Linked DNA regions of Drosophila melanogaster. Changing the gene in region 1 together with any one later gene gives a genetic interaction. Each region holds a gene or a part of one and is shown on either strand. Other genes may lie near its edges. The genes, in order: skd, Bx, sxc and kto.

What was found.
Region 2: of skd (region 1) and Bx, changing one suppresses a phenotype caused by changing the other (phenotypic suppression), as found in Drosophila melanogaster (one study listed by BioGRID).
Region 3: of skd (region 1) and sxc, changing one enhances a phenotype caused by changing the other (phenotypic enhancement), as found in Drosophila melanogaster (one study listed by BioGRID).
Region 4: of skd (region 1) and kto, changing one enhances a phenotype caused by changing the other (phenotypic enhancement), as found in Drosophila melanogaster (one study listed by BioGRID).

Annotation. Positions count from the first base shown.
Region 1 is NT_037436.4:21,023,355-21,030,887, forward strand, and holds the start of skd (skuld), read right to left. Parts: upstream 4,081-7,533; 5' UTR 3,786-4,080; exon of another isoform or gene 3,574-3,785; intron 2,851-3,573; exon of another isoform or gene 2,776-2,850; intron 2,195-2,775; 5' UTR 1,667-2,194; coding exon 1,598-1,666; intron 1-1,597. Other genes in the region: Pdss2 (decaprenyl diphosphate synthase subunit 2), read left to right, coding at 4,954-5,303, 5,362-5,551, 5,731-6,537; CG10584 (uncharacterized protein), read right to left, coding at 7,071-7,533. UniProt on the Drosophila melanogaster protein: Component of the Mediator complex, a coactivator involved in the regulated transcription of nearly all RNA polymerase II-dependent genes.
Region 2 is NC_004354.4:18,562,901-18,573,256, reverse strand, and holds Bx (beadex), read right to left. Parts: upstream 6,952-10,356; 5' UTR 6,846-6,951; coding exon 6,633-6,845; intron 6,562-6,632; coding exon 6,119-6,561; intron 5,747-6,118; coding exon 5,621-5,746; intron 2,694-5,620; coding exon 2,321-2,693; coding exon of another isoform or gene 1,988-2,320; 3' UTR 1,531-1,987; downstream 1-1,530.
Region 3 is NT_033778.4:5,304,705-5,312,185, reverse strand, and holds the start of sxc (super sex combs), read right to left. Parts: upstream 4,899-7,481; 5' UTR 4,688-4,898; coding exon 4,534-4,687; intron 1-4,533.
Region 4 is NT_037436.4:19,833,624-19,840,989, reverse strand, and holds the start of kto (kohtalo), read right to left. Parts: upstream 4,377-7,366; 5' UTR 4,315-4,376; coding exon 3,702-4,314; intron 3,641-3,701; coding exon 973-3,640; intron 899-972; coding exon 1-898. Other genes in the region: CG32221 (uncharacterized protein), read right to left, coding at 4,753-4,869, 4,945-5,636, 5,700-6,189; trc (tricornered), read left to right, coding at 6,898-7,366. UniProt on the Drosophila melanogaster protein: Component of the Mediator complex, a coactivator involved in regulated gene transcription of nearly all RNA polymerase II-dependent genes.

The DNA.
Region 1 (7,533 bases):
TCTTCACAAAAGGCTCCACCCTCGATCACGGACTTAACTCGCGTGCCTCTCAAGTTCAAATTGCTCTCTCGCGCCGTCTCGCTCTGTCGCCACGCTCTCCGTCTCGCTCAGAGAAAGTTTGGCGTTTGTTATTGTTTCGTTATTTCGTTGGCGTCGGCCCTCTCCCCCCACTTATCCAACTCTCTTGCTGCTCCAAACTCTGCAAGAGAGTTGTAAGCAGACACATGAACAGACACAGAGGAATAAAGAGAGCGGGGAAGTGGAGCAGAAGCACGTTGACTTGTATTGTACGCATTGTCGTGTCGTCGTCATCGCCTCCACTTCTTCCTCGACTATTTCATTCGGCTTTTCTGTTTCATTTTTTCGGCTTCTGCGTCCCCTCTCATTCTGCTATCTCCTCCTTTCGACGCGAGATTCATTAAAGAAATATGCCAAAACGGAGAGACAATAGCACAATCACTAACTAGCTGGGCCGACAAACTAGTCGTCAGTCGTAGTCCCCGAGTCTTCAGTTTTCAGTCGCGGGTCTTGGGTTTTCTGTTTCGACTTTGGGTCTCGGGGAAAAGGAGAACCTGTTATGGGCCACAAAGTCACCGAGCCGCAGTCACAAAGCTACCCACAAAGTCACAGAGCAACAATCGCTGTGGGCTGCCACAAAGTCACCCGTTTTTACTGCTACAGTAAACACCCGGATTCTCCTACTTTCAGTTACTACAGGTTTATAGAAATAACAAGTATCGTGAAATTTACTATGTTGGAATGAACGTGTCCGAAAACTGAAAGCTACACGCCTCATACTAAACATTCTATTTAGATACTCCAAGAGCTAAGTGTCTTGACAATCCACATGTTTAAAATTTCAATGAGCATTTATAAAATGTATATTTATAATTGTGATAATTAAATGCAATACACAAATTTAAACGTTTTAAAAAATGGTCAGTGAATTTAACACTCTACCAAAAATTCAGTACCGTTTTGATTGCTTTAAAAACAACAAAATTACAATTTAGTGATTAAACTTTGGCTATTTAATGATTTGTTGGATATCAACATACCAAAAGATAAGTAAATTACTTATTAAACACTGAAACATCACAACATTCAAAATTTTTGTGCGTACATTGCCCCAATTTTATGTATAAATATTAAAGAAGAGAAGAGATTGCCAATTGACCCTAAGAATGAAATATGACATCATAATGTAAAACATTAGAAATGATAAATAGTTCAATATCTGGTTTTAACATATTTTCGTGTGGCTGCATTCATGTTAAGTTTCTGTAGGATATTTGCGAAGCTTCTGCAGCGATAACGACAAACAGCTGTGTCTGACCGGCAGCGCCTACATTTCGGCTACCAATCGATAAGAGTGTGAGATTACGAGCGAGAGAGGGGTGGGGAAGAGGATGATCCCATGATCGGTAATGTAAATTGTTGTTTCTGAGTGGGTGACACACCCCCGCAGGCCAATGAGCCCCCTCGAGAACAACCCCTCCTGAATCATCAACACTGACCTAGATACTGCAGCAAAAAAAAATAAAGCCCATTGCGAAAAATAAGAAACAATTGCCCAGAAAATCAACACAGTACTCACCAAGGCATAAAAGTTTGTGTGGCAATCCTCCAAACTTGCGCCGTTTGTCTGATGATTTTGATGCGTCATAGTTCTTGGCTTGTTTTCTTCGCACAGCAGCAGCACCTCATTTTCTCAACGTTGTTTGCTTATAGTGTATTGCTATTATTGTTATTTATCCGATGTGTTGTTATTTGTTGTTGATTTTGATACTCTGTAGTATTTTGCACATTTGCTTGCTGCTTTTTCTGCTCTTTTTATTTTGGATTTTTATTTTTTATTATTGATTCTGCTGCACGCACACAGCAATACTCTCTCACACACACACACAACGGTATAGGCACGGACACACACGCGAGAGAGACGACACACACGGATACACAAATAATGAAGAGCTCTCTTTCGTCTCGTTTCTTTACTTTCGATATTTTGTGGTTGTTGTTGTGGTGTTAGATTTTGTTTGTAATTTGCTATTTGATGTTTGGTTTTGATTTTTATTATGTGTATTTTGTATTTATCTGCTCTCTGGGGAGAGTATGTTAGCGTAAACGTTGCTTTGGCAATGAAACACACATACTGTAGAATTAAGCATGTTGCTTTTGTTGTTGTTGGTTAAAGCTGGAATATAAGAAGAATTAGACTTTGAGCACACATTTTTCCCGCTTGGCATATGTTTTCTTTTCCGAAAGAGATGCATTTATTAGTTAATTTTCTTATTGTTTTAACTTGCTTATTTGTTGCTACACTCACTCAATCACACACACACATCTAGATCACAATTACAAGGGTTCGTTCATTCGCTGTTTCATTCATGCAAAAAGAGAGCAAGCAGAGAGAGAGAGCGACTCAGAAATTGACTTTTTTCAGCCACAGGCAGCGAGTATACACCGCACACACACATTTACTTCTAGAAACACACAAACGACGATGAAAGTCGTTGGATTTTCGTTAATCGTTGATGTAGACAAAATAAAATAGGTAAGAGTTTTCGGCTGTATTCGAATTCAAACCCAACCAATTTATGTTTAATCAAAAAGAACTACACATTTATAGAGCGCAAATCAAGATGAGTAATCAAGGAAAACACCAACACATGCACTCGCACGTACTGTGAACACACAAAACTCGAAGCTGCGACTATTTTTTGGTTTCGAAAAACAACAGTAGCTCAAAATATTTATTAATATTTAATCTATTACTCAGGCTTGAATTTCTTGCGTTGTATTTAGTGTTTTTTGCGCACGAATGACGAGTCAGAAATTTTCGAACCGACTGCGAACGCTGGTCGCCACACACAATGGAAATTTTGCTCGCCTAGCTTTGAATCGGCCATATATATGGTATATAGCCAGTATGTAGTGTAGTTGTACCAGCGGCGAGTGGCGAGAGAGCAGAAGAGGGCGAGTAGCGGCCGAATTCGAATAGCGGCTTTTGCTCTTTTTGCTGAGCAGAGAGTGAGAGAGAGGAGAGAGGGAGAAAACAAGTTTTACCAGCTAACTGCATATGCATTGGTGTGCGTGTGCGTTAGTGGCGTCGGCGTCTGTTTATCTCGCTCTCGCTCGCTCTTTGTGCATCTCTTGGGGATGCAACCATTTTGAGCGAGAGGCAGACAGAGAGAGACCGAGCACATAGATCGATTAAATTAAGGGAAAAATCTCAAACTAAAACGAAACTCGAAGGAAATCCGAAATTCCATAAATTATGCACTATACAACACTACATAGCACACACACGCACGCAAATATGTAGAGTGCGAAACGTGATACATAGACGGGCAGCAGCATTCCTCTCACACACACACGCATCAACCATACACCTACATGGCAGAGCAACCACTTTCGTAGTTTTCCTTTCGCACCGTTTTCTCTGTTTCTGGGCAGTAATGTGTGTGTACACATCAAATTTTCTGATTTTTACTTTCGGCCACTCGAAATAGCCGGAAAAAAATGCCATCGATAACTAAAATCGCACAGTTGTTGCATATTCCTCTTTCTTACACTCTCCTCCTTTTCCACCTCTTTCTTTCAATCACACACACACTACATAGGCACACCGCCGGGGCAGCGACCGCTAGAGCAATTAAAAACCATTAAACATTTCCGCTGCCAATGCTTAAACACGTCTTGAAAATCATTTAATGATTTTGCGCCACAATTATTTGTCAAACAACGGCACTTGGGCATTATTATTTATATTTAATTTGCTGCACCTCTTGCACGCATACACGCATACAGCACACACGCACACCCTCTCACTTCTCGGGCAATCGCTTTTGCATTTGCATTTTTGATCACTTTTCTACGTTTTAATCGCCGTTTTTGATGTTCTTTCCGACTACCGATGTAAACTTGTCTTGAATCTTTACATTTTGTGCCACTTTATCTATCGCATTCGCATACGGAAAAATCTGCGATCGATTTTTATAACAATTCGCAACAAATATGAGGGAAAACTTGCCGTCGGCGGCAGAGCCAGTGTTGCCAGCTAGCACAGACAGAAAACTACTAAAGAGGTGGCACAAAAGCACTAATAAATACCACAGAACACTAAGTCTTCACAATGGGAAGTTCAAAATATACAACAAATTAATACTTCTTAATTTAGAATGGTATATTTTTTAAATTATTTGTTCTATGTCTTCAAAGGTATTACACATCTTATATATAAATAAATAAAGGATCTCTTAAATTTAATTTAATAACGGTTATAGAAACCTTTTAATGAAATGGTTTAAGTGGTGCGAATGCGTAAAGTGATTGGAATGAAGTGTAAAATAAAAGATATTTTTATTCTGTTTGAATCAATTCCGTCAACTGATTGTTTGATCCTTCTTAAAACAAATTTTTTTAAAGGTGAATACAAACTATAATAAATTGTACAATAGAAGAATTTGTAATCTATTAAAATGGAAACAAATAAGTGTTTTGTCACCACTAGCATCCAATTGCATCGCTAACACCAGCCACTTGTGTTCCCATCCCTAAGAGTGACCGTACTCCCCATGGCCAAAAAGTGTGCACCGAAGCGGCGCTGCCGTGCGAAAACCTGTTCCCGCTCAAGACCGCCGTTACACACCCCCTGCGCCGCCTCCTCGGAATTCCATGACACTGCGTGGGGCAATAAAAACAAACAGAACGCTTGGCGGCCACCTGAGAGCGGAGCAGCGACCAACTGTAAAAGTGGGCCGCCCGGGAAGAAGAAGAAGCAGCGTAGGCAGCAGGTGACGCCGACAGCGACGTCGGCAGAGACGCAAGCAGCGACGGACCTCGAAGATTTCACTTTTCGACGAACGATTTAACTGAGCGGAGCTAAGAAACGCGATTTTCATACAAGCAATTGAAAAAAATAGTCGTGTTGTAGGCGAAAATAACTAGAAAATGGCCATGTACCGCGCCAGTGGGTTAAGGATTATGCAACAGATGCGACGCAGGATTCCCGTCGAACTGCAGCCACTCCAAGTGGCCAAAGCTGCGCCTGCGCTGCAAACTTTCACTTCTCAGCGCTGGACTTCGACGACGACGACCAGTGGAAAGCATGCCAGTCCACAGGTTACGACCCCGCCCCCGAGACACGACTGGAATAGGGCGGTCAGCGAGGCGGAGCGCATCGTCGGCTATCCCACATCCTTCCTCAGTCTGCGCTGGCTGCTCAGCGACGAGATCGCCAATGTGGCGCTGCACCTGCGCAAACTGGTGGGCAGCGCCCATCCGCTGATGAAGACGGCCAAGTGAGTGGTGCTGAAGGGCTTATAGGGCGTTGAAATTTATGTGAATCTTCCGCTTCAGGCACCTGCTCTACAATGGCAAGAACACGATGCAAGCCTGGGGATTGATAGTGCTCCTGGTGTCCAAGGCCGCAGGACATGCACCCAGTGTTCCAGACGTGGAGCAGGACAAGAGTGCCGGAGTGCTGCACTCCCAAAGGGCTTTGGCCGAGGTCACCGAGATGATACGGATATCTCATCTGGTGCACAATGTAAGTTTTTGATCAAATGCATTCGAAAGTTACTCGTAAACTGAAAGTGGTTTGTATGCAAATGAGTTTAACTTTCCTCAAATTTAGTTGACGAAACTCAAGAAACGAACATCAATATGTCATTGGTCGAGCTGATGCCTCATAGATTATAAAAATATTTACACTTGGTCCCATTTTAGAGCGTGGTTAATCTGCAATCGAGCACGCAGGCTGGGCAGGATGTGGACACCTACGACGACATGTCGTTTGGCAACAAGATCGGCCTGCTGACCGGCGACTATCTTCTGGGCCATTCCAGTGCGGAGCTGGCTAATCTGCGCAACCAGGAGGTGGTGGAGCTGATCTCGTCGGCGGTGCGAGATTTTTCCGAGTCGGAATTCATTGGAGAGCGTGATGAACAGAACAACCCGCTGCCTTATAAGCCAGGAACCTTCCAGCGACCATCTCTCAGCGTTGGAGTGGATTTCAACGAGCACGACGTGATGACGCCAATGCCGATTGCCCAGGTTCTCGGCAATCCGGAGGAGGAATGGGAGTGCCGTAATATCCTTAATGCGGGTAGCCTGCTGGGCAAATCCTGCCAAGCTTCGCTAAAGCTGGCCGGACAGAGTGAGGAACTGCAGCGACATGCTTACCGCTTTGGCAAACATTTGGCGCTCGCTTGGCAGGCTTGCTTGGATGCCGAACCTTTTCAGTGCCCCCAACTGCCGCTAGATGTTACTTTCAGTCTGGTTAGTGCTCCAGTCCTATTCCACTTGGAGCACGACCCTGGCATGTATTCTCAATTGGAGGCTGGCAAGCAGTCGGTCGATAACATCGACTACGACAAGATCCACAAGGCCATTCTGGCCGGGCCGGCTTTGGCCAAAACCAAGGAACTGCAGCGGAAGCACACAGCCGCTGCCCTGGCCGTTCTGCAACATTTCCCGGCGACGGACGCTCGACAGGCTCTGGAGAACATCATTCTGGCCATGCAGGATCTTTGATCCCGAGCAGCAGTTACTGATTTTTCACGGGTTCAGGGCTTAGGTTAGTTGTATTTATTCCGTTGGGTAATTTTTCAGTAAAGCAGACGTTGTTGACTAATCTTTAATGATTCATTTAAAGTAAAGTTTAAATGCTTTATTTTTCTGAACTTCAAGTAATACTTGGTGCAAGGTCACAAAAATATATTTTGTAAATCGTCTTGTATCGCAAAAGTTCATTTTTATTATAAGGGAAAATATAGTTCGTCATAAAAAAGGTTGTATGTTCATATTTACATAACATAGAATTGGAGGATTTGGAAACATTCGAGACTGTAAGATTTTTTTCGCAGCCTTGAAATACAAGGCAAGAGTCCCAATTTGCAGCCAATAATTTTCCAAAAAAAATATCGTCACAATCAATGTTATTAGTTTAATTCCGGTGATATCTCAACCTAACGTAACAAAGCCATAATTTAACTAAATTATTAAGGTACATCGAGGGGCCATTTGAATCTAAGAAGCGGAACGTCTTTATGTGTGATTTACGCATTTTAACGACTGATGATCTTCATCAGAACCAGTTGCTTGCAGCGATCGTACTCGAAATACTGGGGGAAATCCAGAGGCAGGTGCTCCATGATCCACGGCTTGTTCACCGTCTGCCGGATGAGGTACTCATACATGGGAGCCACCGAATCGCAATCCTCCAGTGTGAACACATAGCGCTTCTCCAGTGCCATGTATATCGTTTTGGGTCTCCCAGTTTGGCGACCTCGATCCAGGAGGTTATCCAAGACGCAGATGAAGGCATCGGTTAGCGTATCACAGTAGATGACATCGGCAGCTAGGATTATATCGCTATTGTCTATGGCCTCCAGCAGATCCTGCGAGTGATCCTCTTTTGAGGCGAGAAAATCAAACTCCAGAACTGATATCGTAGCGCGGAGGAGTTTTGAATTTCTTTGGACATTGCCGCGGATCAGCTTCAGTATGCATCCCAGGTCCACATCCGTG
Region 2 (10,356 bases), on another chromosome or scaffold:
GCTCGGGTGGTGGATGTGGATGTGGCTGTAGCTATTGATGTAGCTGGAGGGGTTCAGCCACAGCTCCGGCTATAGCTTTTATTATTTCAATTGCGGAACGGTGCCCGGGGCTCAAAAATATGAGGCATCATTTATCAGGCCGCCATTCCACCACTCCACTACGTCATACCATTCCGTTCTGGTGCGGATTGGCTGTCTGGGCTGTGGATTTCAAATTGGCAGCAACAATGCCGTGATTAATGGCCGTCAAAGCGAAAGAGTCAACAAATGTCAAGCGACAAACTGCAATTGGCAATTGGAGGGAGGGGGGGTGGTGGTGGTGGTAAAGAGGACCAAATCCCAAAAAACCCCATACCATAACATATACCATATACCATACTATACCATGGTAGGAATCCCTTGGCCCGCGATGAAATGAATGCCAACACAAGTGCGGGTTAATTTTTTCAAATGTTTGTTAATTACATTTATTGTTTCCTTTTGTTTTTGCATTTGCATTTGTTTTTATGTTTTTTTTTCTCTCGTTTCTCTTTAGTTTTGATTTCTTTCACTTGCAATCGTTCTGGCTGCTTTCATTATTACTGATTGCCGGCCAAAACTCGGATTATGGTTTGTTTTTGTAATGTATATATATGCACGTATATATAAGTCTAAGCGGGTTTATCTTACACTTTAGATATTTTTGATTTAACTTTATGCCTGCTCTCTAACAATACAATACAAAAAAAAAAATATTGGATAATCGCTCTTACTTATTTCCGATTATTAGATATTATTACGATATTTAACATAGTTTCGGTAATTCGATAGATAGGTAGTATTGTTTATCGCTCGTAGATGATAGACTGTTGCTTATACACACACTTTGGTTTCTCCCGTACTTAGTATATTCGCTAGCTCCTTTCGAACGCTAATTACGCATATTGATTAGTGTTACATTAGATTGCAAAAAAAAAAAAGGATTAATAAATACATCCATATTGTAACTAGTTCGCTTGGTTATAGATATACACACGCACGCACACAAATCCTTAACTTTACATCGACCTATCTTAGGCGCTTTACATCTAACGCGCTGGATCATCGTGGATCTGGCCATCATACCTCATCTACAATCCATCTAGAAATCATCCAGCTCCAGCTACTTCTATACAACGTTCGCCGTGGAAAGAACATTCTTTAGCCTCGCACTAAACTAAACTTAAATAATAATCAACAACGTTGCTCCAACAGACTTAAAATGGAATTAGAACAAAAATCATGTGTGCTTAAGTCGTGTGCAGAATGTCTCAATATTTACACATCAAAGTTCACTTTTGCCAATTGCCCTCTAGCTCCTCTAGCTCCTCATCATCTATCTCTCTTCATCTGACTCTACTCTACGATCCTGCGGCTCCTTCGGATTCGAAGGACACATGGAAAATCGAACAGTGATCGGTGGGGATGTTTAGCTCTCTCGATTTCGCAGGTCCACAAATCCGATTCTCTCCACCAGGCCGCCCTTGTCATTCATTCCACATTCATCAGTTTAGTCCTTCGTTTATTTTTTTTTTTTTTTAACTTTTTGGCACTGCTTTGAATTTCTTTTGGCACCGCACGCTTCGAGCGTGAAAATAAAATTATTTATGCATATACATAGATAAATACGAATATATCTATATGGAGTATGTAAAAAAAAAAAAAGGATCCCGCTAATACGTCAACAGTTTACAAGGAAAATATGTACAGTATGTAGTGGAAACGAAAATAAAACTAGTTTAAAAACAAATGGGGCGGTTATTCTCGAATAGAACTAAGTAAACATATTGTCTCTTAAATGTTAGGATCTAAAAATGTCTGCAAATTCAGCAAGTACTTTTCTGTAGGCTAACTAAACTAGGCCTTTAAAACTATAAAACTTGAACTCAGTCAAAGCAAACGAAGATTTGAATATCGATTCTGGATTTCTGCATCCTTTCCGCTAGCGTTTTCTCGCCCGTCGATTTCCTCAGTTGCGGTTGTAAAACTTTCTTTGGTAGCGCTTGCAGCCGCTTCCGATGCTGCCAACGCCTCCTCCTCCTCCTGCCCCTCCGCCTGGTCCACCGGCGGATCCTGCTCCTCCTCCTCCTACTCCTCCACCGCCGCCCATTCCTAGGCCCAATCCCATGAGCTGTTGCTGTTGCTGCTGCTGTTGGTGATGCTGCTGATGCTGGTGCTGATGCTGCAGCCCGAAGCCCGAGTAGAATTGCTGACTCGCCGCTCCAACTCCAACTCCAACTCCAGCGCCGACTCCAGATCCCGGCACAACAGCCCCAGCGGCACCCATGCCCAGGGCTTTATTTTAGCTGGACGCGCCCAGTTGATTCTTCATATGGGCAGCGGCGGCGGCGGCAGCAGCAGCAGCGGCAAACGGTGAGCCACCGCCGGTCGGTGTCTGTGGGCCATTGTTGTTGTTATTGTGATCGCCAGGGGTGCGCGGTCCGTTGACCATGCCCACGCCATTCACATTGCCGCCACCGGGTCCGCCGCCCAGCAATCCACCAGCGGTATTCTGCGCCCCAGCCGCTCCCGTCGGTGAGCCCTGGCCCAAGGAGGAGACGTGTCGCTTGAGCATCGGATGATTGGCCATCGATGCGAAGACCAGGCGCTCCTCATAGTCGTACTCGCAGAGTATCTTGTTCTCGCACAGGTAGAAACGGTCGCCCACACAGAATCTGAAATAACCGGAAAACGGCAGTGGTTAGTACTACGGCACAACAAGTCGCAAAGGAAGTGGAAACGATTTTTCCACACGCTTAGGCAGACCCAGAAATCGGTGGGGGGGAATCAAAGGCATAAACACAACGACAAAGACAACGACAGCAACGATGAGCGATGACAATTGACAGCGGTTATGGCGACTGTAGCTGCCAGCCAGCCCGGCAACTCAGGAACTGTCGTCTAAAAACAAAAGCAAAACGGTTCCAAAGAACAAGGACAGCTACTCAGGGAATGGCAGACGGGGCGGGACCGAAACAGGACCAGCACAAGGACAAGGAAGTCAGATAAGCGCTAGGCAATGTCGCTCCGCTGTCAGCAACAGTTGGTGTGGCAGGAGCATGGGTCTGGAGCAGAGGAGCCTGGAGTGCTGGCTCCACTTCGGTTGGAGTACGGAGTCGAGAGTGTACATTCAGCCAACTGCAAATAAAGTTGGCTCCCGGCATGGAGCCCTTTGTCAAAATATTTATGTTAGCACCTGTACGGATGGCGGAGGCGGATGCCACGCCCACTCCGGCCAACAGCAAACAGATACACTCGATGCAAACCGAAAGGGAGCTCGCATTACAAACGAAAAAAGCCGAAAAAAGAATACGATTCACTTGGGGATGAGATGGAGTCGCGTTGAGCAGACGAGTTGATGTCCTTTGAAACCAGCTAGATCTGGTATTGAAAAGTGAGAAAGACCAACGATGATTGTGCTTATTCCTTAGAATAAAAAAGACAAGGGGTAAACGTTTAGAGATACTACTACTACTACTTTCTTATCCGCTACAACTTGCAAGTTGCCTCGAACTTTATCCATCCTTTCCATCACATATTCTGCTATCCTGATGCAATACTCTACGCCCTCCTCCTCCGCCGGCGTATGCAAAAAAGAAACGTTTAAAGTTTGATTCCCCGAGGAGGACGGGGCACGGGAACACACTGCATCCGTTTTGGTAAGGAGTCTGAGTAAATCAGCTTACAGCAGACTTACAGCGGATATGAAATTTGGCTTTTGATTTACGTCAACATTTTGTTGGCCCGCTGCTTTCGGTTGCGTGGCCAAATCGATTGACGGCCCATGTGGGCGTGGCAGGGAGCAGTGCACAGAAATCTGGCCGGCCGGAGCGGGCAAAAAAGCGCTTTGTTTATCTACCAAAACAGGGCAACAAAAGTCCATGAAAACGAGTCAACAAAGTCGAAACTTTTGCTTCTTTTGCCGCTGGCCTGGCATTGAGCGCACCTGTGACATGGCGATGGCGATGGCGATGGCATTGGCATTGGCGATGGCAATGGTGATGGCTATGGAAATGGACACGGACATGTTGATAAGTGAGTGCCTCTGTGCGGGACTCGCACATCCGGGCATTTCGTTCGCCTCCTCTCCGGCTCCATTCCCCGTCGTTCACAAGAAACCAACAGCAAATTGTCAACAGGAAGCACACATACCAAAATAAAATGGGGGGGAAAAAAAATTGTGAAAAATTCGCGTGGACGAAAGATTTGACTTGGATGCGACTCCAATCGCAGGAGAGCAAGGATGTCGTCGTCCAGTGCTGACGACAGGAAATTATGCAAACCTCACCGACGACTGCAATGCATTTTGCAGCATTTCCCAAACAGCAACAGGACCCAGGACTCAGCGGTAGGACTCAACAGGAAAAGTCTTTTTGTTTGCCAAATGAAAGCCCGCATTTTAAATGTGGCCATTCGAACCATCCGACCAACCAACAAGGCGGAGCGAAGCAGCCGCTGGCCATGTGGCCACGCCTCAATGGATTTTTTCGGCAATTGAATTAATTTACGTGAAAAATTGATTAGCAACAGGAGGGGATGCATCTCCACTGGTCATTTTTATGGATAACGTGGTGAAATATGGGATAACCATGACCCATCATACTCTCAATCTTTTGATATTAGTCTAAGCTAAATTTGCATTAGTTCTATATTATATTATTCTAGCGTAAACAGGATTATAGAAAAGTCAAAAGTTAACCATAATGGCATCTCCGCAAGGGTGAACTTCTCCAAGTTCGTTGCTCCTGTTGCATTTTTAAAGCCAATTCTCGGCAATGCAAAAACAAAGGGCCAGCAGGAGCGCAAAAAGCGGGGAGATTCCCGGATAAGGAGCGGTGGCCAAACGGGTGGAGACGATTCTCACAATATGCCAATATGTTATAACATTTATTTCAATATTTTTTACCAGCCAGCACCGTGTGGCGGCGCTTTTAATATTTAATGTTCGCTCCCTTGTTGCGTTGCACAATCGACGACTATGCCGGAGGTTTCTGGTGGACCGGGAGCCACGAAGGCATATGTGCGCCCTCATTATTAATGCAGAAACCCGAAACGAAAACGAAACCAAACCAAACCAAACGAAACGAACCGGCCAAAATGGAAGAATGAGACGCGACCCCATCCACCGGGCAATCGGGCTGCAGTTTAAAGCTCTCCAGAGTGACATTTCACGAATTGGCCAAGTCCAATAAAATATTTGAGGCCTTGGAATGCTGGGCGTTGACTTGATGGCACCCAAAAGGGTTCGGTTCGTTCGGTTCGTTCTGTTCAATGCGAAATTTATGCGGTTTTCATAGAAAACGTATGACACTAAAGGGCCATTCTTCCCACCCCGTTTGTTTAGCCGTTAGCTTGTAAACGATGGCAATTTGCTGTCTGGCGGCACGTTAATAAAACTTCAAGTGCCACTTTGGGCCCGCTCCGATGGGCCAAAGATTAAAAAGGGATTCATGTGGCCACCTTCAATGCGAATCTCTGTGCAAATTGCCCATAAAAATGCATGCGAAATCGTTTAGTCGCTTCTCCCACACAATGGATGATGTATGGTCTGCCCCACAATGGGGCAATGGGCCAGTTTGGCCAAATTCCTTTCGATGCTCACCTGTGGTTACACTGCTGACAAGCGAAGCACTCCAAGTGATAGACATTGGTCCTTGCACGCATCACCATCTCGAAGGCTGGGATCACCTTGCTGCAGGCGGCGCAGTAGCCCGTGTTGCCAAACAATCTGCGGGGAAAAGTTATGAACAGATTAGTAAAAAGTTTGAAGTTTATATGGTTTACATGGTTCTGACTTCTTTAAGTAAACATCTTTACTCTTTGCTATTAAATTGAATATGCGTAAAAAAAAGCTTTAGGTAGAATAGGTACTGTTTAAATATAAATTACTCTTAGCAAGAAAGCTTCTTAAAGTCTTATAAAACTAAAAATAAGTCACAGAATATAATGAATACTTTATCTATAAGCATTATAGACCTGAGTTCTCAAGAATTGGTATCATTTTTAACTTCTAACATGACTAATGAATACCATCGTCTATTATACTTCTAGGTATATTACACTATCAAATGGTTTTAGTATTTCTTAAATCGCAGCTAACCTCAAGTAGTCCCGCTTGCAGAGCATCAGGTTGCCCTTGGTGTAGAGCGTGGAGCCCACCTCGCCCAGGCGGCAGTCGCAGCAGCCGCACTTGAGGCAGTCCTCGTGCCACAGCATGTCCAGGGCGCGGAGGAGATAGCGGTCCTGGATGTGCTTGCCGCAGCCGGCGCACAATTGGCTGCCGTTGTTGTTGTTATTGTTATTATTGTTGGCAGCGGCGGCGATGCTCTGGACATTCCCGTTGCCATTGTTGCCGCCACCGGCACCGCCGGAGTTGACCACATTGACCACGTTCCCATTGCCATTGGGATTGGGCCCGTTGTTCTGGCCACCGCTGTTCATGCCGGCGTTGCTTTGCTGCGACTGCTGCTGCTGCTGCTGCTGTTGGTTGGAGGAAAGCCCGACGAGACCGGGTTCGGTTTTGGTAATGTCCATAGTCATCATCTGCAAGGGGACAGGAGAAGATATAGTTATTACTCAAGGTTCCATCGCCGGAGTTTTGTGTGTGTGTGTACATTAAGGCTACCGAATCCCTGGTAATAACTGTAAGCGGAAGGGGCAAATCCCCAGGGCCACTGATAAGCGTACTGGGGCACGTATTGCCGCAGGATCGCCTGCTGCTCCAGCTCAATCGACTGCACGTGGGGCACGAAGAACTTGTCCATGTTGTAGAAATTGACGCGTTCTTCATCTTCGCAATGCATACTAGCGTTGTAGAGGTACTCCATTTCGATGTTTTCCTGTTTCCTTCGATTTCAACAGTTTTCTTACAAAAATGACCCGCGAAAGATCAGAAAGCTACTGAGTCTTCTTCTAGCAGTGTTGGCAGTGTTGGCAATACACAAACAAAATAACATTTTATGGCGTGTAAACTATCGTATGCTACTAAGTTCTCAAAAGAAAATAGCTCTTTTGTAAATAAGATGCACTAATCAATGCATTGGACTCATAAAAATAGTTTGGTAATTGTATTTTTGTTATATCAAATAAATTTTTTATAGCATTTTCCTTATTGTAAATTTCTTCAAGTGTCGGCCACTGGCAAAATGTAACGGCAATTATCAGCTGTGGCACAGTGTTGTGAAATGCGCGCCTCTGCGATGGCGTCAGTGTACAAAAGATCACTATTATGCAGCATACTTTTGGGCTGACCACTAAAGTGCACATTGGATTCGCACACAATTCGCAAACTATGCAAAATATTAATACCCCTTTGAAAATGCAATTTCCACAATGAAATGGTGTAATATTCATATTTTCATGACATATTTTCAGCTGAATAAAAAAAAACTACTTCTTCACTTGGGCTCGTCCGGGAATTGAACCCGGGACCTCTCGCACCCGAAGCGAGAATCATACCTCTAGACCAACGAGCCTCGTTGAATGACCCGCTGCTAATCACCCAATAAAAAGTTAGCGATCGTTTTTCGTACTTTCTCCTTTCGTTCAGCACCTTGCTAAGAAACTCAACCAGCGATGTTAAGGAACTTGGAATTTTTTTTTTTGGCCAATTACGATAATATCCCATATTTTTGGACTCTCTTCAAATAGTGCTCGTAGCCCCCAACATAGTATGTATGTATTATCCTCAACTGTTGTCGCCCGATAACGTTGACGTTAACAGAAACCAGCAAAGCGAGCAGCCAACAACAACAAATCAATACAAACAAAAGGCCCATTTACCCATACACAATTTCGTGGAATGCCAAGCGGCGATTTAAAATAACGAGATTTATGACAAATTGGCGCCCCCCATCCCTTGCCAACGCTAAATAGTTTGTTGCAATGTGCAAATTTCAGCAAGCAGCGAGGAAACCCTAAAAATATGCAATGCCAGCGATGCCGCAATGCACTCACTACACTGAACAATGCGGGGAATCATTGCATCATTTTTTTTTTCAAGAAACAACAAATAATATTTAATATTTATATATAAAAACAAGAGATAATTGTGTTCCTAAATGTCCTTGGCACAAAGTAAGAAGCTTATTTGGAATTTAAAATAATCTGCCTGTCAGCGAATCTCTTCAAAGTTTCAGTAGAAACTTTAAGTACTTTCACATTTTATTTTTCACAGTGCATCATTCTTTGCCCGCCGCAGAAGTTGTACACACAATGTGTGCCGTGTCTGGTTCTGCCTTTGGCCGCCTCTCTTTTCGCTGATTGCCCTCGTCCGTGTCCGTTGTCGTCCCTTGTCCGTTGCCCCTGTCCGTTGCCCATCGCCGGACAACCGGGCCAAATGGCTCGCATTAAGCCCTGCGCCATGTAGCGCCAACTGTGACCTCGACTTGACCACGGCCCAGAGAGTGGGCGTTGTGGGTGTAGGGGTTATGCAGCTGCTGGAAATGACTTTAATTAGACGGTCGCCTCCGATCCCCAATACCCACGTGCCCCCTCCCATCGCCAGTGAGTCGTCGGAGGGCGGGTCGAAAAGTCATCAGCAGTTGATGCCCGCCGGCCAGTCGACGGGGGCATCCAGAATGCCAGATGGGTTGGTGCAAGTGGATGCCTGGGTGGCTGCCACTGGACTGCTGCGCCGCCGACTCATAAAAATTCAATCAAATCAATTTATGTAAATTTAACGCGACGTTTCAAACAATAACAGGACCGGACTGGTGGACCGTAGGAGTGCAGGCCGGGAAATGGGAAATGGGGTATGGGGTATGGGGTATGCAGCGCATCAAAACTCAATTTTGGCAGCTGCAACATGCAACGCCAATGTGGCAGCGCAGACTGCATTGTTATTTAGTTTAGACAAATGAAATCGAATGCTAAACGCTGCTCGGAAAAGCGCGCGTCCATATTAGAATTTCATTTTCAATTGCATTGCCACCAGCGAACGCCCATTCACTGCCAAAGTGGGCGTGGCTGCATGAATGCTTTATCAGGCCACCGCCTTCCTTTCCACATTCCCAACCCCCCCTACTGCAGTTTCATAGTTTTGGCAAACACCCCCACCGGTTTTTCTCTGTGTGCTGGGGACGCTCAATTAATTTATGCATTACATTCCCACAAAATGCTTTTCAATTTGCATCCAATTTTGGAACGATGCAGAGATAGGCCGCTGGCAAATGATCTCGCTGCTGCTGCTGGCAGTTTGATTGATTGATTGACTCACCCACTGACTGACTGATATGTAATTAGTTTAGTTAGACCACGATCGAAGTCTTTAAATCCAGCGCTGATTTGTGCCTAACAATGGTCCACTAAGGATTTCTCCTATTCTTCGGGAAAGTGAAGTAAGTTAGGGCAATTAGAGCAATAGTCCCATCAAGAACTGAAACACATGTTTGTCCAAGGGTTCGGAGTTGTCTTCTATTATTTTAGCTTTAAACGTTGTCTTTTCATATAAGCAAGGCTTCGATTATAATTATTATTTTACACATTATTCATTAAACGCACTTCTGATTTCGTAGTGCCCCAGGCTGGGAAATCCGGAATTCTTCCGTCTGTGGAACCACCCTGGGCACCCCTCATTTCCGCTCCCCTAAGCTCCTTCCTGCCCACCACATTCCCGTCCCCCGGTCACCGAAAAAGCCTTTACCAAACTAATTGCGCGACCAACGACACTCATTAAAGCCAATCAATATTCAAATTTCACGTGCCAGGTGAGCTGGTGAGCTGGTAAGCTGGTGGACTGGTGGGCGGTTCATCGTATTCCGGTCAGTGGTATAATACCCGAGGGTGCCTCCTCCTTGTGGAGACCCGCTGGCGTTTTCACAGTTTAGTTTGCTAAGCGAAGGGTAATGGGGAATGGGCCGCGGACTGCGGACGAGCGGTTTGGGTTCGTTCCGTTCCGGACGAGGCGCTCTATAATTATGCATATGCATGTGACCCAAGTTAGTGGCAAGTTAAACCCTTTTTAACCCCAATTCGTGGCACAAAGCCAAGGGGGTTTGCTCCTCTGGAAATTACGGGTTTGCACGCAAGTTAACGGAAGTTACTTGCTTGCTTACTGGCTTGGCCAATACCACCCCCCCCCCCCTCCGTTGCCTCCTTTGCTCGTTTTGGCCCTTTCTTTCTGTTTTACCTTCAAGGCAAACGAACCTCTTGGAATTGAGCTGATTTCTGCGGTCAGTTATGTTCTTTATGGTTTATTTATTTGGCCGCTGCAATTTTGTGTCACGTTTAATGCACCTTGCAACCGGGGGTTGGCCCTGCGCTTAAGGGTTCTCCACTCATGTGGAGCGCTTTTAATGACACTAATTAGTGGCGGGGCTCATGTGACAAACGCACCAA
Region 3 (7,481 bases), on another chromosome or scaffold:
GATTGTCTTTCTTTTTTATTTAAATAAAAATCTAAAAACAACAAATTTTACATTTATAGAATTGTTCAACTTTTAAGGGAAACAAATTTTCAAAGCTTTCGCTTGAACAGTTTTCTTAATATCTCACATGAAAAATTTTTGCTCAAGGAGCACTAACCTGGTGACGCACAGGAATTTAGATTATTAGGAGGATTTAGATCTTCAATGCACGTCTCGATAAGATGAAATACAGTTTAAGATCCTACGTTTTTTTACAAAGTTTGGATTTTGATTTTTTAAGCCTGTACCTAGTTACTAGGTAACTAATTTTAAAGGATGGACAAACGATAAAAACTAATTTGCAAGGATGGGAAAACGATAGACACTAATTTTAAAGGATGGTCAAACGATTAAAACTAATTTTAAAGAAATAAATTATTTTTAACAGTGGGCAAACGAAATATTTATTTCTAAGAGGTGGGCTTACGAAATAAGTTATATTCAAGCGAGGCAAACGAAAAAAAAAATTTAAAGTTTTTTAAAGGCGGACAAACGACAAAAACAAATATTGGTTGGGCAAATGTTTTTTTATAATATTTGGTAAAAAAATTTAATTAGAAAAAATTGAAAAGGTCAAATTTTTGATTTTTTAACATTTTTGATTTTGATGTTGAGCTCTTATGTACACATAAACTAACGGAGAACCTAATTTGGTGACGGCCAAAATTGCTCTCTGTCCGCTCGCTTACGATGAGAGCGTAAGCAATCTGAAAATAGAATTTGCTTGTTTGTGAGAGTTAAAACAAGAGACGAGAACGCGTATATGTGTGCGTGTTGTGCTAGAAGACGATTTTCGGGCCGAAATCAATTCTGATCAAAGAAACGAATTTACATATTTGGGGAGTTTTGGCCAATTTCGTAGCAATATGATGAAATTGCGCGCTGTTTAAAAATATCAAATTGGAATAAAACAAAAAAAACTGCAACTAAACAACTGAATCTAATGTGCATTTTAAATAATATAAATCGATCATTTACATAAATCATATTAAGTCGAAGGACTTAATAAATATACTAAATAATTAAGGCAAATGCAAAGGAAGTATGATAACTACTGTAATTTAAAACATAAATTTTCCAAAAAGAAGACATTAAATTGCTTACACAAGCACTCAACAATGCCTTATTAATTTTTCACACGTCGCAAGCTGAATACTCTAATGACAAATATTCTAATATAGTCATTTTTGAAATTTATTTTGTGACATTATGATTCGGCTATAACTATTTCTAAGCTATATTTAAATAATAATGACGTTAAGGCAAGCAAAACAAGAATTTTCCGCATGATGCCAATTGATCAAAAATAATATAGATATATAGATCAAAAATAATATATATATAAAAATAATATAGATCTATAATATAGATAGATAATATCTATGAACTTCTAAGGTGAAGGGCATATTTTGTCAAATTTACAATGCATGAGCATACGTGTGCACACATACAGTTGTCTGCTATCACTGTATGCGTAGAAAAGAGCTCTTTTGCTCTCGAACTAAAATTCGAGAGAGCCTGGAGCCACCTCTACACTATGGGGCATTTGGCCTGTTTTTTTTTACAAAAATTAATACCTCCTAAACTATTGGAGATATTTGGATGAATTTTTTTTTATGCGTTACACATGCCTCCAGGAATATTTTGAAAAAGTGGCCGTGCCCCAACTCCGCCCCAATTTTTTTTTTTTTTAATATATTATATTATAATTTTTTTTAATAATATATTTTTAAAGTTTATTTTTAATTTCAATATTGTATAATTCATAACCGTCTTCCTCTTCACAATCGGCAGAGTCTGAAGAATTTTTATCAGGTTCAAATTCGCAAGCTAACATTTGAATGACTTCTGGTGGAAGAGATAGTCGCTTATGTTTTCGCCTCTTTAAATTTATTGATGATATTATGGGATCCGTAGTATCCATTGCTCTGTAAAAGACATCTGCGAAGCTACTAATAGTTTTTGCTTTGGCTGGGTTCAACAAAAGAATTTTAAGTATGGCTGCAAGATCCCGCAGGCAGCACTTCCGTACAGCTTGAACCAAAAGACATTCGTTGTGATTCTGCGCCCTTACGAGTTCATCTGCTTGCTGTCTTCGGCCACTCAAATTTTTTAAATAATATGACGTTTTCGGGAGTCCAGCTAATTTCCTTTCCTTTTTATTTTTCTCCTTTACCTTCAGGACTAGGTGTTCTTCTAACCAATTTGAAAAACTTTCAAAAATTCATTTATTTTTCGATTGCATTTTCTCCAATTTCGCAAAAGATTGACTGAAATCATTCGTTATTAATATTATTCGTTAATCGTTCATTAAAGTCTAGCTTGCTATCAGAAATATGCCCACTGATAAAAGTGCAAATAGAATTTTCCTTTTGACGAACAACCTTTTGCTTGCGCCACACTTCCAGCAGGGCAGCATTGGAAATCGAGATATTGCTCCCTAAAAAATGAAATTTCTCAAGAAACCGCAAAAAACGCACATAGAGACTACCTGATATGAGTTAGAAATTGAACACACTACAACATGGATATAAACACTTACTGAACAAATTTGAACAAATTGTTGTAGCTCTATTCAAAGTTTAAAATTTTTTCAAACAACTACATGTTGACACCACTTGCTAAATGTACAAATTGTTAGAAATAGGCGCACACAATAAACAATATATTAATAACAACACATAATAAAAACCTAAAGATTGATTATCTATTTCAAATTATACTCTCCTTCTTCTTCTTTTTAAATTTTAACACTTTGAAAGTTAAGCTAAATTTTGCGCGCAAAGCAGCCACGTGATATATGCTCGCAACAGCCGACTTTAACAGCTGTTATTATAACGGTGCATTGTAAAATTAACTTTTGCGGGCTGTATCATAACAGTTTAACGTATTTCCAATGTATTAATACTAAAATACTTCAAATTTGCATACTTGTGAAAAACACATTATTGTAAAAAAAACAGGCCAAATGCCCCATAGTGCTCTAGAGCCACATCGAATGGCGTTACGCATCTTGTTATTCTGGTGTCTTTGGCCGTACCCTTTGGTCGAGTTCCGCAACAGATTTTTAAATCAATAAAACATAGCAAGGCAAATAATAAAATGAAAACAAAACTTATTTTTAAACTTCCTTCTTCACACTGAATATTATTTCGTGCAATTATCAGAGGAAGTAATCTGTATAAGCTTCATACTTTAGAGAAGGCAACTAGATACTATGCTCAAGAGATAATTCCTCAGGTACAGCAAGGAAAGATGATTGAGACACACACTGAGAACTGCAGACACATGCATATGTATGCAGATTGAAATACAGGTATAGATCATACACATCCAGATTCAGGACTACCCTAAAATGGGCCGAGTCAATGAGTTTTCAAGATCTCTCACTACGCAGTCAATGATATTCTAGAAATAATACAGTTTAAACAAATTAGACTAGTGTTAAGCACTTCAATTGGTGCAGATTAACCAACGGATATGCAGGGTAACGAACCCTTGAAATTTCAAAGGACACATCCGAAGTTGTCTGCTGTAGTTTGTTCGTACAGTTTAGAGGTTTCAAACCAATAAGGTATTTCAGCACCGGATTCTTAAATTTGTTATATAAAAAAAAAGCAATTTTCTAATCGTTTTAGAAAACAAAAAGGTGTTTTTTATGCCGCAGCTTATTTTGTGCAGTATGTTAATATTCAATAAATGGCCATTTTAAACCTAACAATTTTTTAATTTTAATATCCGAGATTGATCCAACTTCGCGGAGAAGCGGAAGCTTCTCCCTAAAAGAAAATACTGTATTGAATGAAGGCCGAAAAGCACCGAAGAACTTTTCAATGAATACCAAATAATATATGTACATATATGTAATATATGTTGTCAAAAATTTAAAAAAGGAAAAACGTGCAAGCTACAGCAGAACGAAAAAAAATTTAAGTGCAAAGTAAGCTTTAAGCCAGAAAAAAAAAAAATTACAATAAAAAATTTAATTTTAGATGGAGTGAGAGATAACATTATAGACGAGTTTCTCGACTACCAGATACCCCTTACAAGATACGGCTTTAATGAGGGATGCACATTTAGAATACGGAAATCGTCTGTTTTTTAACCATGTCAATAATTCTTTCAAAAATATTGCGTTTACATTTTTCTGGTATCTTTCATCGAAGCAATGCCAACATAAAAATTAATTTAACTACACGAAATAAGCTCAGACACTGAACACTGATTTTTATGTTGTGTGAATTTTTAGATGCGTACACCATATGCATCTCTTAATATGTTGTTAATATGAGACACATTAGACACATATCTATCTCGGGCCAGGCATAACCAATTGTTTGATTTATTGATTTTTCTTAATTTAATTGTGGTTGTCTTCGCTGTCAAACTTATTCATTTGCATTAATGTATAAAGTATTTAACTAGATGTATTCTTTAAAAAAATCAATTACAAACGTATGTACATACATATATAAATGTATGGTTATTTCTTACCGACTGATGAAAGAGATTGAATGTCATTTTGTTTTACGACTAGGTTACTGCCTGTTGAATTCGGATTTTGATCTAATAATATATGGGCCGCGGACGGCAGTTGATGGCTCTGTCCTTGAGACTGCATATTTATTCGTGTTTGTTCAACATGCATTAAAATCCAACGTTGATAACATGTGTCTAAAATCAATAAGCCACCCTTAAGTAAAGACACTGTGATGTTGTTTACATGATTAAACCTTTAAGAAAGAGAATATCAGTAAAATATCAATATGAATTGCATTAAGTTATAAAAGCAACCTGATTTAATTATTTTCAAACATCCACTCAGCTGTTAATACGATTTACAAGAGAAAATCAAATATTTACATACTCAAATATTGAACACTGTGAACAGCAACTTAATAGCTTATACCCTATTCTTACGGCGGCAAAAACCATATTAACATAATATCAATGTTATACCAATGATATACCACATATAATTTCAAATGAAGAGAGAATGGTATTGTCGAGTCAATCAGATAACCGTTAGTCAGCTCGTGAAAATGGGAACACGAAATTCATTCATCATTTTTCTGGGATATCGTTAAATACTGGGATATAAAATAAGAACAAAATTGTTTCAAATTGATCAAAAGTTCGGTCTTGACCGGTTTGGAAGGTGTAAGAAGGGCCGTGGCCGCGAATTAATAGAAATTGTATACAAAAATCAAAAAATTTCAAAACATTTTGAAATTGTTAGCGTTAGAGTGGTCATGGCAAAATGTTTTCTGGCAAATTCATAGAAATTTAAAAGAAAATAAAAATATGAAAGAATAATAAAACATTTTACATAAGTGTAGACGTGGCAGTTTTGTCCGGTATGTGTGCGTTGGATTGCACATGGCAACATGGGTTAACAAACTTGCGCGGCGCCTATGTCTCTAGAATCACATATCACATACAGTTTGTCAAGAAACTGTTTACACACTGTAAAATAAGTTGAATTTTTGACTTTAAAGCTAAAAATAAAGGGTTTTTTGCTTAATTAAACGCAATTTTTTTTATAAAATATAATCAAACAATATTTATTTTACTTATAAATCAAAAAACAAATTAAAAATATTAAATATACAAGAAAATAAACAACAAATTCCAAGTTTACACGCTTTTAAGACTGTCAAGAAACTCTCTTTATTACAGTTGCGGTAACAATAATAGCATCATAAGCACATTTCGTGTTTGTCCCAGCTTTTCTCTATTTTCTGACACTTTCTCATTATTTTACTCACTAAACTTAAATACTACAATGATTTTCAATCGAAATAAAAAAATTAGTAACAGATCTCATGGATATTTTAAAAATAATTGGTAAAACAAAAAAAAAACCTTCAAATTTAGGCGGTAACAAACATAGCACTGTTTCTCGTAGTTTGCTTGGGATGCGATCGGGTGTGGTACCGTTTTGGTTTTAAGACTCCTCTCAGCCGCTAGGATCTCGGGCTCCGTGACAGGCCGCAATTCGTCTCCGCTTGGCCCGATCTGGGAATTGGGAATGGCAGACCGAACAGGAACAGAACGTTAAAGATGTTTTCCAGAGCAGATGGATCGCTTTCTGCTGCGACGCAGACTTTCAGAAAGCATTCACGATTGCTGGCTCTAATCGTTTTCTTCGGTGAATTCTTTGTGACCTTGTATTCCGTATGGCATGCTTCCAGACGCGTGGTGCCACGAGCTCTTTGTACGAGTCTCGTTGCGCGTAGGCTGATGATGCGCTGCAAGGCAATATCCTCGCTCCACCAGAAAACCAGGGTGTGGTGCCTTCGGTTCGTTTTCCTCATTCGCATGCTTTGGCCGCAGGCCTCCTCCACCCTCGCTACTATTTTATCCGCTGCTGCGATCACAAGTTCGCCTCGTTGACCGTCAGGTAATGGAGAATGCCGGCGGACTCTTCTAGACTCATGGTGTTCTGTCGGTAGGCCTTAGGTTACTGCGTGTTAGCCCTGCTCTCGATTGCCTTTGTGCCTATTTCGACCTGGATCGCCTCGTGGTCACTGACTGTGACCACCTCCTTGATACCCCAACAGGAGAAGCGAGCGAATGGACTGCTTATGAACGTGAGGTCGATAATTAATCCTGCAACGGCACTGTTGAACGTCCAGCCTAGCGAATGTTTCGAGATTTAATTTGCCCTTGGGAGTTGTGTGTGGCGACCACACTAGAGCGGCCCACACGTTAAAGTCCCATCCGACCACGACGTTGCACCGTTCTCGAAAATCGCAGGTAAGTATAAGCAGTTGTATAATTATATATGAAAATGCATTGAGGCTTAAGAATTTTTCATTTGGAAATTATATATGCTTACAGTATTTGAATTATTTAAAATTATACTGCTAATGTTAATATTAAAAAATTCGTTATTCTTGAATATTTGTTATATTCGTAAATATTCTTTAAAAAATAACAGACAGAAGGGAGCGTTTCCGACCATATGAAGTATTTATATTCTTGATCAGGGACCAATAGCCGAGTCCGTATGAACGTCGAGATCTCAGGAACTATGAAAGCTAGATTGAAAGCTAGGTTAAGATTCAGCATACAGATTCTAGGGACAAAGGCGCACACACACTTTTAAAAACACGTGTTGATTTTTTTTACATTATTATTAATATTGTAAATTTCTATCGATTTGCAAAAAAAAATTGTTGCCTCGCACACTCTAAAGCCCTAAAACTGCCACTCGCACAATTTTTCAAAATTTTAGATATTTTTTTATAATTTTGTTAGTCTTGTAAATTTCTATTGATTTGTCATGCCGACTCTAAGGCTTTAAAACCGCCCAAGACTGAAAATTTGTTGGATATTTTGTTATAATTTTATTAGTCTTGTAAATTTCTATCGATTTGCCAAAACACTATTTTCCACTCCCACTCGAACGCCCTAAAACCGAGCAAAAGTGCCACGCC
Region 4 (7,366 bases), 1.2 Mb from region 1:
CAAACTGCTGCCCAATTGTAAATCGCTGGTGCCCAGGATCTGGCTGAGATCGGCCGGTCGTTGTTCGTTGCTCTTGGGTGTGCTTCCCGGATGGACCGGTGTATTGAAGCCACTACGCTTGCCGCTTCCAAAAGCTCCGCCCAATCCGCCAGAGGAGGTGCCGCTGCCGGAAGCCAATGGTGTTTTAAGCGCCGCATTGTCCACAACAATGAGAATGGCCTTGAGCACGGCAAGCACTGCGGCAATGGGAATGGTCTTATGGGCACCCACCAGAAGATGACGATCGCAGCTCAGCCGAATGCTAAAGTCGTTTCCCACAGCGTGCAGTGGATTCGGGGAAGTGCTTACCGAGTACATGCCAGGTTGAGGAATCTCCAAGGTCTTAAACAGCTTCAGCACCAAGTGACATGTAAGACGAGCACCTGCCTCTGCATCTACACTCAGTTCGGCTCCACCAGCGCTTACCGATCGGGCCAATGTAGGCAGGGCGAACTTACTTACAAAGTCGGCTAGTGAGAAGCAATGTCTGGCCACCAGAATGCATACGAACACGGCCAGGGCGTTGTGAGTCTTAAGTTGTCCAATGTCGACCTGTCCGCCCAGGTGCGGATAACGCGGACTCTTACTGCCGCTGCACAGACTCTGCAGTGCGTATATCCACTCCTCAGACAAGACGTTGCAGCTGGCGGTCAGTTCGGCACATGCGAGGGCCACATCGTTCAGCCGCTCGTTGTCCGTCTCTCGGCAGACGGCTATTAATGCGTTAGACACGAAACTGTATACATTGGCCGGCGACTCGTGCAGGGTTCCCAGCCAGTGAGGATCCAGTTTACCACCGCGTCGAGGGGCCATGAAAAGCTCCTGCAACAACAGTGGGTTGTAACCCTGAGGTGGTAGGCTAAATAAAAAATGGTAATATTTGTTAATATTATATATTATATTATTGGGGAAGAACTTGCGATCTAAACTCACTCAAGCTGCTCTGGAGTGTTGAATATGTCCTTGAACCGCTTGATGCACTGCAGCTGCTGGTAGTACTCCGTGGATTGTTCCTTTCCCTGGAGCAAAACACACGACTCGTGTAGGTCGCTCAGGTAGGCAATAATGCAGCGCTCCGCCGAAGTGCACTCACTCGGATTCGATACGTGCCGAATGGTACGACAGACTCCCTCAAAAACAGACAGCGTCTGCTCCGGTGAAAGAAGAAGGCAGCTGTGGTAGCGCCGCAGGATGCTGACGATGTAGAGGGCAAGTGAAGTGGTGTAACTGCGCACTAGGTTTGACTTCTTTAGCTGCAACTGGTGCTCCACCTCAGGCAACTCCTTCAACAGACTATCGCACAGTTCCAAAAGACTGTAGATATTAAGAGCCAGCTCCATCAGATCAAAGAGGAACGCCACGTGCTCCTGTACCGGCAGGTAGTTGTTGTTCCCTAACGCGAATCCGTTCAGCTGCTCCAGGACATTGGCCGCACATTGGGCTGTGACCACATGCTGGTCGAAATAAGCCATCTGCTGGCACTTGGACGTGGTAGCTTCGAAGTTAAACTCGTTGCGCGAGTGCTTCTTCACATGACCGGCCGCCGCCACATCTATGCTAAACTTTTTTGTGAAAAGCTTTCCAATTTCCTTAGACATCTTCTTGACAGCATGCTTCTTCTCGTCCCTCTCTTTGCCGACTCCGAAGAGCAGGATGTATCGCTGGTTGCTTTCACTGCTGTAGCTGCTCATGCTGGGATCATCCTGGGGGATGGGGAAGTGCTTGGTGTACACGTAATGCCGCGATATGCTACCGCCAGGATTGGTTTCTCCATCGCCTGGAGGACCAATCTTGGGACTGTCTGGAGCTTCGTGCTGTTGTCCTTTCTCCTTAATATTTTGCACCAGTTTGTCCAAATCGTCGTCCACATTGGAATCATCAAATTCGTTGTGTTTGAAGTCCAGGCCCCCGCCGAATCCGTCATCATCGAAACCGTGCGTCGTCGTTGGTGGTGGAGCTGGAGGTGGCGGCGATGTTTTCGTGGCCGTTGTTCCTGATTTGATCACCAGCACCGACTCCAGGAGCAGATCTCCTCGTGAAATTAGAGTGTGCATGTACGCGTTGTGCGAAAAGACATCGTGGCGAATCAATGCACTGAACAGCTGAACAAGGTTGGTAAATTCCGTGCGCTGCTGTGGACTGCTCACGTGCTCATCGAGGACGGGAGCATCGTGGTCAAGGAAGTGCATTAACACGTGCTGAAACACAGGCAGGCCATCAATTAAGCCGGCGCCCGAAGCTAGCGAGTCCTTGTCATCCTTATCACTGGATTGTTGATCCGCCGGCGTGCTTGTCACGTCGATCTGGCGCTTGTCAAGTAGAATGGCCACCACCATGGCTCTGTGTTCTCCCCAACGCTGCCCCGACACAGCCCACTCGCACAGAATGCGTACCGTGTCCTTGTCTTGTTTGGGTTCATAAGGCGGACGAGGTTCCACCTGATCCTCCTCCCGCCTGCGACTGACAGTTGGGCTGGGAAATATTTGTGCGTATAGGGTATCGATACTATTATTGTGTTCCATGCGATCGAAGCAGTGCGTGTCCAAGTGGTCCAGTGTAGCCAGCACACTGGTGTATTGATTCTTGCCGGCACTCAGCCACTTGGCTGCAAACCAGCGCTGCTCTGCATGCTGAGTGCGCAATACGATGTCCGACTCGGCGGCCCGCAATTGACGTCGAATCTCGTGATTGGTTCGCGGACAGCGTGTGGGCATCGGCAAGACTGAGGGCGCCAAAGGCAAATGGTCCAGCGGACTACCCAACAACGAGGAGGGTGCTCGGTGAGCTGCTATCCCACTCCAGACCAGAGCTGTGGGGCACTCGATTGTGATGATCTGTAGGATCGTGCTTAAATACAGCACTATATCCCGATGATGGGGACAACTCATTTGTTCCTGAAGCGCCAGCTCATAGGGATCTTGTTGCAACTTCGGCTCGTCCAACTCTTTGATGGTCTGCTGTTCTACGACAGTGTTCAGCAACTGGGCCAGTTTTTTGGACACTATGTAGGCCATCTTTCTGCAAAGACGCTCCGACTGGACGAAGTCGTGCATGTACTGAAGGGCAAAGCTGAGCACCAATTTCTTCAACGGTTCGTCGAAGCTTGCCTGCGTACGCATCTTGTCCAAAAGGTCGAGGATCCAGTTTAGAAATTCCTGTCGGTCCAAAAGTGATTCCTCGTACATGTACTTGCTCAATTGGTGGCAGTATTTCCAATACTTAAGCGCATTGCGACTATCTTCGAACTGGCTTCCAATTCCAGAAATTGTAGAGCCTGGTGGAACTGCAGCTCCTGCACCCGCTGCGCCTCCTACCACAGAAGACCCCGGCCCACCGACTACTCCGCCAAGGCTTCCCGTCGTCGGCATGACACTGCCGGCATTCACTCCTCCGCCAGGAGCTGCCTGTTGGCCATTAGCTGGGCTATGAATCGGTGGCAGTGGACTGGCCATGCTGGGTACCGGGATTACGTTCGTGGAAGCACTGCTACCGGTGACGGAGTTAATAGAGCTGGTGCCAGTGGAGCCATTGCTGGCAGGACCATTACCGGCGGCGGTCAGGCTTCCGGAAGTGGTGCCATTCGAAGAGGACTTGTCGTGGTCTAAAATCAAGAAGTTGAATAAGGGAGTTGATAGATTATAGAACTTAAGGACTGTACTCACTCTGCTGATAATACTCTTGGAGCTTGGGAAGCAGCTCTTTCATGAACTTGATCATGTTGCCGGTCCACTCGGCAGCCGGGTCGTAAATGGATCGCTTTTTGTTCTTAGACTCGGTGAAGCTAAGCGTATAGGCGGCGCTCAGCTTGATGAACCAGGTGGCGCGTTGCATGTTCACCTGGTTCTCGCACAGAGTAATGAAGATCTCCTCCTTCTTGTTGAACGATGGAGCCCGTTTGGCTAGGCTAAGTAGGGGTTTGTTACCGGCGAGGTCCTTAAACCAGGCGTCCACCGTACACTTGCGACGCGGCGAAACGGGCCAGAAGTTGTCCTTGCAGTTGATCTGCTGCTTCTTGCGCCCCGTGTCCGGCAGGGTCATCAGCTCCTCCTTCTTGGCCAGGACGCCGCTAAAGAATGCGCTCACTTTGCTGGCGTTCACATTCGAGTTGTGGGCCGTACCGAATTCATCGGACAGCGGTGGCGTCGTCGTGAATCCGTGCTTCACATTCGTGGGCGTCAGCTCGTCCTCTCGCTGCTTCGCGTCCTGCGGATAGATGTCCGGCGGACCCAGACGGGTGCGCTTCAGCGGACGCTTCTCCTGCAGCATGGACAGCATCTTCGCGGCCCTCTAGTTGCGTTTTATAAACAGATTTTCTTAGCGAATTCCCGATTTCCTCTGTTCGCCAACCCAACAACAAATCAAAATATCAGTGGTGGGGCGAAAAAATGCGATGAGCCATCGATAGTTCGATAACATCCCGCGAACAATCTAGCGGATGCAATCGAATTTAAGCTAAGTGTTAAATGGTTGTAAATATTACAAATGTAATCTTATCATGTTCAGCCACACATCCCCAATCAACCTGATACAGTACTTTAAATATGACGTAATTTTTTAATTATGCAGTGAAAAAGTTACATCGTTGTGCACTAACAAAAGAAATACCACTCAAAGTGGTAAGATCACGAATAAAGCTGCGTATAAATATTAAATAATTTACGTTGTATTTTTGGTAATGATTGAAGAAACATTCGTTGTTAAACGAATAAGGCCTCACAAGGCTTGGCGATCGAATTCCGGCTCATCGGCATAAAAGTGTCCGCCGCTTGTCATTCCATCGCTGCACTCGAAGTTCAAACAGAGCATTTTCAGGGGAAATTCGTGCGGTAGCTGCAAACGAAGCACAAAGTGTCACATTAACATAAGGACTTTCGAATATATGTATGTGCTTTAAATATTACTCACCCGTTCCATGATGTCATGCCTAATGTCAGTGGCCGCGGCAAATAGCTCTAGGGTTTGATGAGCTGAGCGTTTCGATAAGCTGGCCAGCGTGTCCAAGACGAAGGCGTCTGTGATGCCCAGGCAATAGCAAATGTTCAGATACCGAAGGCGCTCATTGTTGGCCACCAAAAGGGAGAGCTGCGTTTCTCCAATCTCACGAGCGGACTGTATGGAAAGGCACTCTAATCGACTCAACTTCGCCAAGTGGTGAACACACAGATCGTCACGAGGCTTGCAGACCAGCCACCGGAGACACTTCAAAGCACTGATGTACTGCGCCTGCTCCTCGTCAATCCAGCGTTTGCGGTGCAGGATGAGGTATTCCAACTGAATGGAGCACTGGCTTTTGGCCAGTGCCTTGAACAGGCGCGTTTTCATATCCTCCGAGCAGTATAATTGCAGGTACTTGAGGTTTACAAACTGCGGCAGGACCAACAGATCGGCGTCGCAGTCATTGAACGTCAGCTTCTCCAGGTGGCGGCAGTTGGTGGCCAGCATCCTGAGATTGCTGGTAGTCAGAAAGCGTTTGGCGTTGCGCAGCTGAAGGCATCGCAGCTTCCTCATGGGTTTCACAATTGTTGCGAATTCCGAGGCGGTCACGTCGTCGTACAAGCCAAGTTCCAGCATCTCGCTAAACTGACGTACTTCTTGTACTGTGAAGGGAGAAGCAATTAAATAATATTGTTGTGATAAGGTGAACATTAAATAGTTCTTACACTCCTTGCGTTCAAAGCTCTCCAGGCTCAGACTGTTGACCCGCGGAAGGTGTATCCCAATGGCTTTTATTAGATCCTTGCTGGTGCTCTTGTAGTTACGCACGTGCACCTTTTCCAGGGAGCTCATCCTCAATAAATACGGTTGCGCCCGTGCCACTGTTGCATTGTATATAGAGATGGACTTCAGTCGGTAGCAGTGTCTGCTGATCATCGGGAGCAGCTGCAGCGGGTGATCATCGTCAAAGTGGGATTCCAGTGTACCGATGCGACTGCCACAGAGCCACAGAAAGGTGCGCCAATCCTCCAGAGTCCTTATACTCATATCCTTGTCAACAACATCCTGGAAATCATGGCGATGCAGGCGAAGAAAGGCATCCCTAAAAATGCGACAGCATCGCGCCAAGTGCAACTGGTCCTCCAAGCTTAGAAGCTTGAAGATGAACAACAGAGAACTGGGGTCCAAGTCCAGAATACTGGTGATGCGGGCCATTATTAGCTGACTATGCTCATTGCGCGGGACCGTCACAGGCGCCAAATGGCCAGATTAGCAAAGGCAACTGGTTTATGTACGCCTGACATGGAAAAATTTATCCCAAGTCGGTAAGTTCTATTTATTTACTAATTGGACTGGTGGCAGTGATGACAATTTTCGAAGTAAGAGTCTTTTGGCAAGATTCAAGCTAAAAGGTTAAAGCTAAGATATTTTAACTATTGTTTAAGCTTTGTTTCTTAATAGAATTACAGTAAATAATAACATGACCTTAAAGTAAATTTAAATAAATTTAAATTTAATCAATTTTAATTAAAAAAATCAATGTAAGTAATAAGTAACGTAATTTCAGTACATAAATTTTATACAATTGTCGGTGAAAGCTTAATTGTCATGACTATCTGCGAGCCAAAAGCACTAAAGTTCTAAAATCAATCGATTAGCTATCGATAGCCCCACTGGATCGCAGCCAACTTTGCTTTGTTGGGGATGCAAAATGCGAATGGCTCTTGAAGAAGAAGCAGCAGAGGGAGGAATTTCAACAAATTACCGAGGAAAAAGGCAAGAAACGGGCGAAGAAAGCAGTGTGTGTGCATTGGCAAGTGCATAACTCCTCACCACACACACGCACACGCACCGACATCGCAGGGAGCACACACACAAGCCCCAAATAGGACCGAGGTGACCAGGACAAAAACCCCAGCTTAGATGATGAGCAGCAGAACGCAGGACGCGGACGGTGCCTCGATCAGATTCAGCGACCACACACTGGACAAGGCCACCAAGGCCAAGGTGACGTTGGAGAACTACTACAGCAACCTGGTGACGCAGTATGGCGAGCGAAAGCAGCGCCTCGCAAAGCTGGAGGCTCAGCTGAAGGACGAGAGCTTGTCGGAGGCGCAGCGCCAGGAGAAGCGTCTGCAGCATGCCCAGAAGGAGACGGAGTATCTCCGGCTGAAGCGATTGCGCCTCGGTGTGGAGGACTTTGAGGCCCTCAAAGTCATCGGACGCGGCGCGTTCGGTGAAGTGCGTTTGGTGCAGAAAAAGGACACGGGACATGTGTACGCCATGAAGGTGCTGCGCAAAGCGGACATGCTGGAAAAGGAGCAGGTGGCACACGTACGAGCCGAGCGCGATGTCCTGGTCGAGGCCGATCATCAGTGGGTGGTGAAGATGT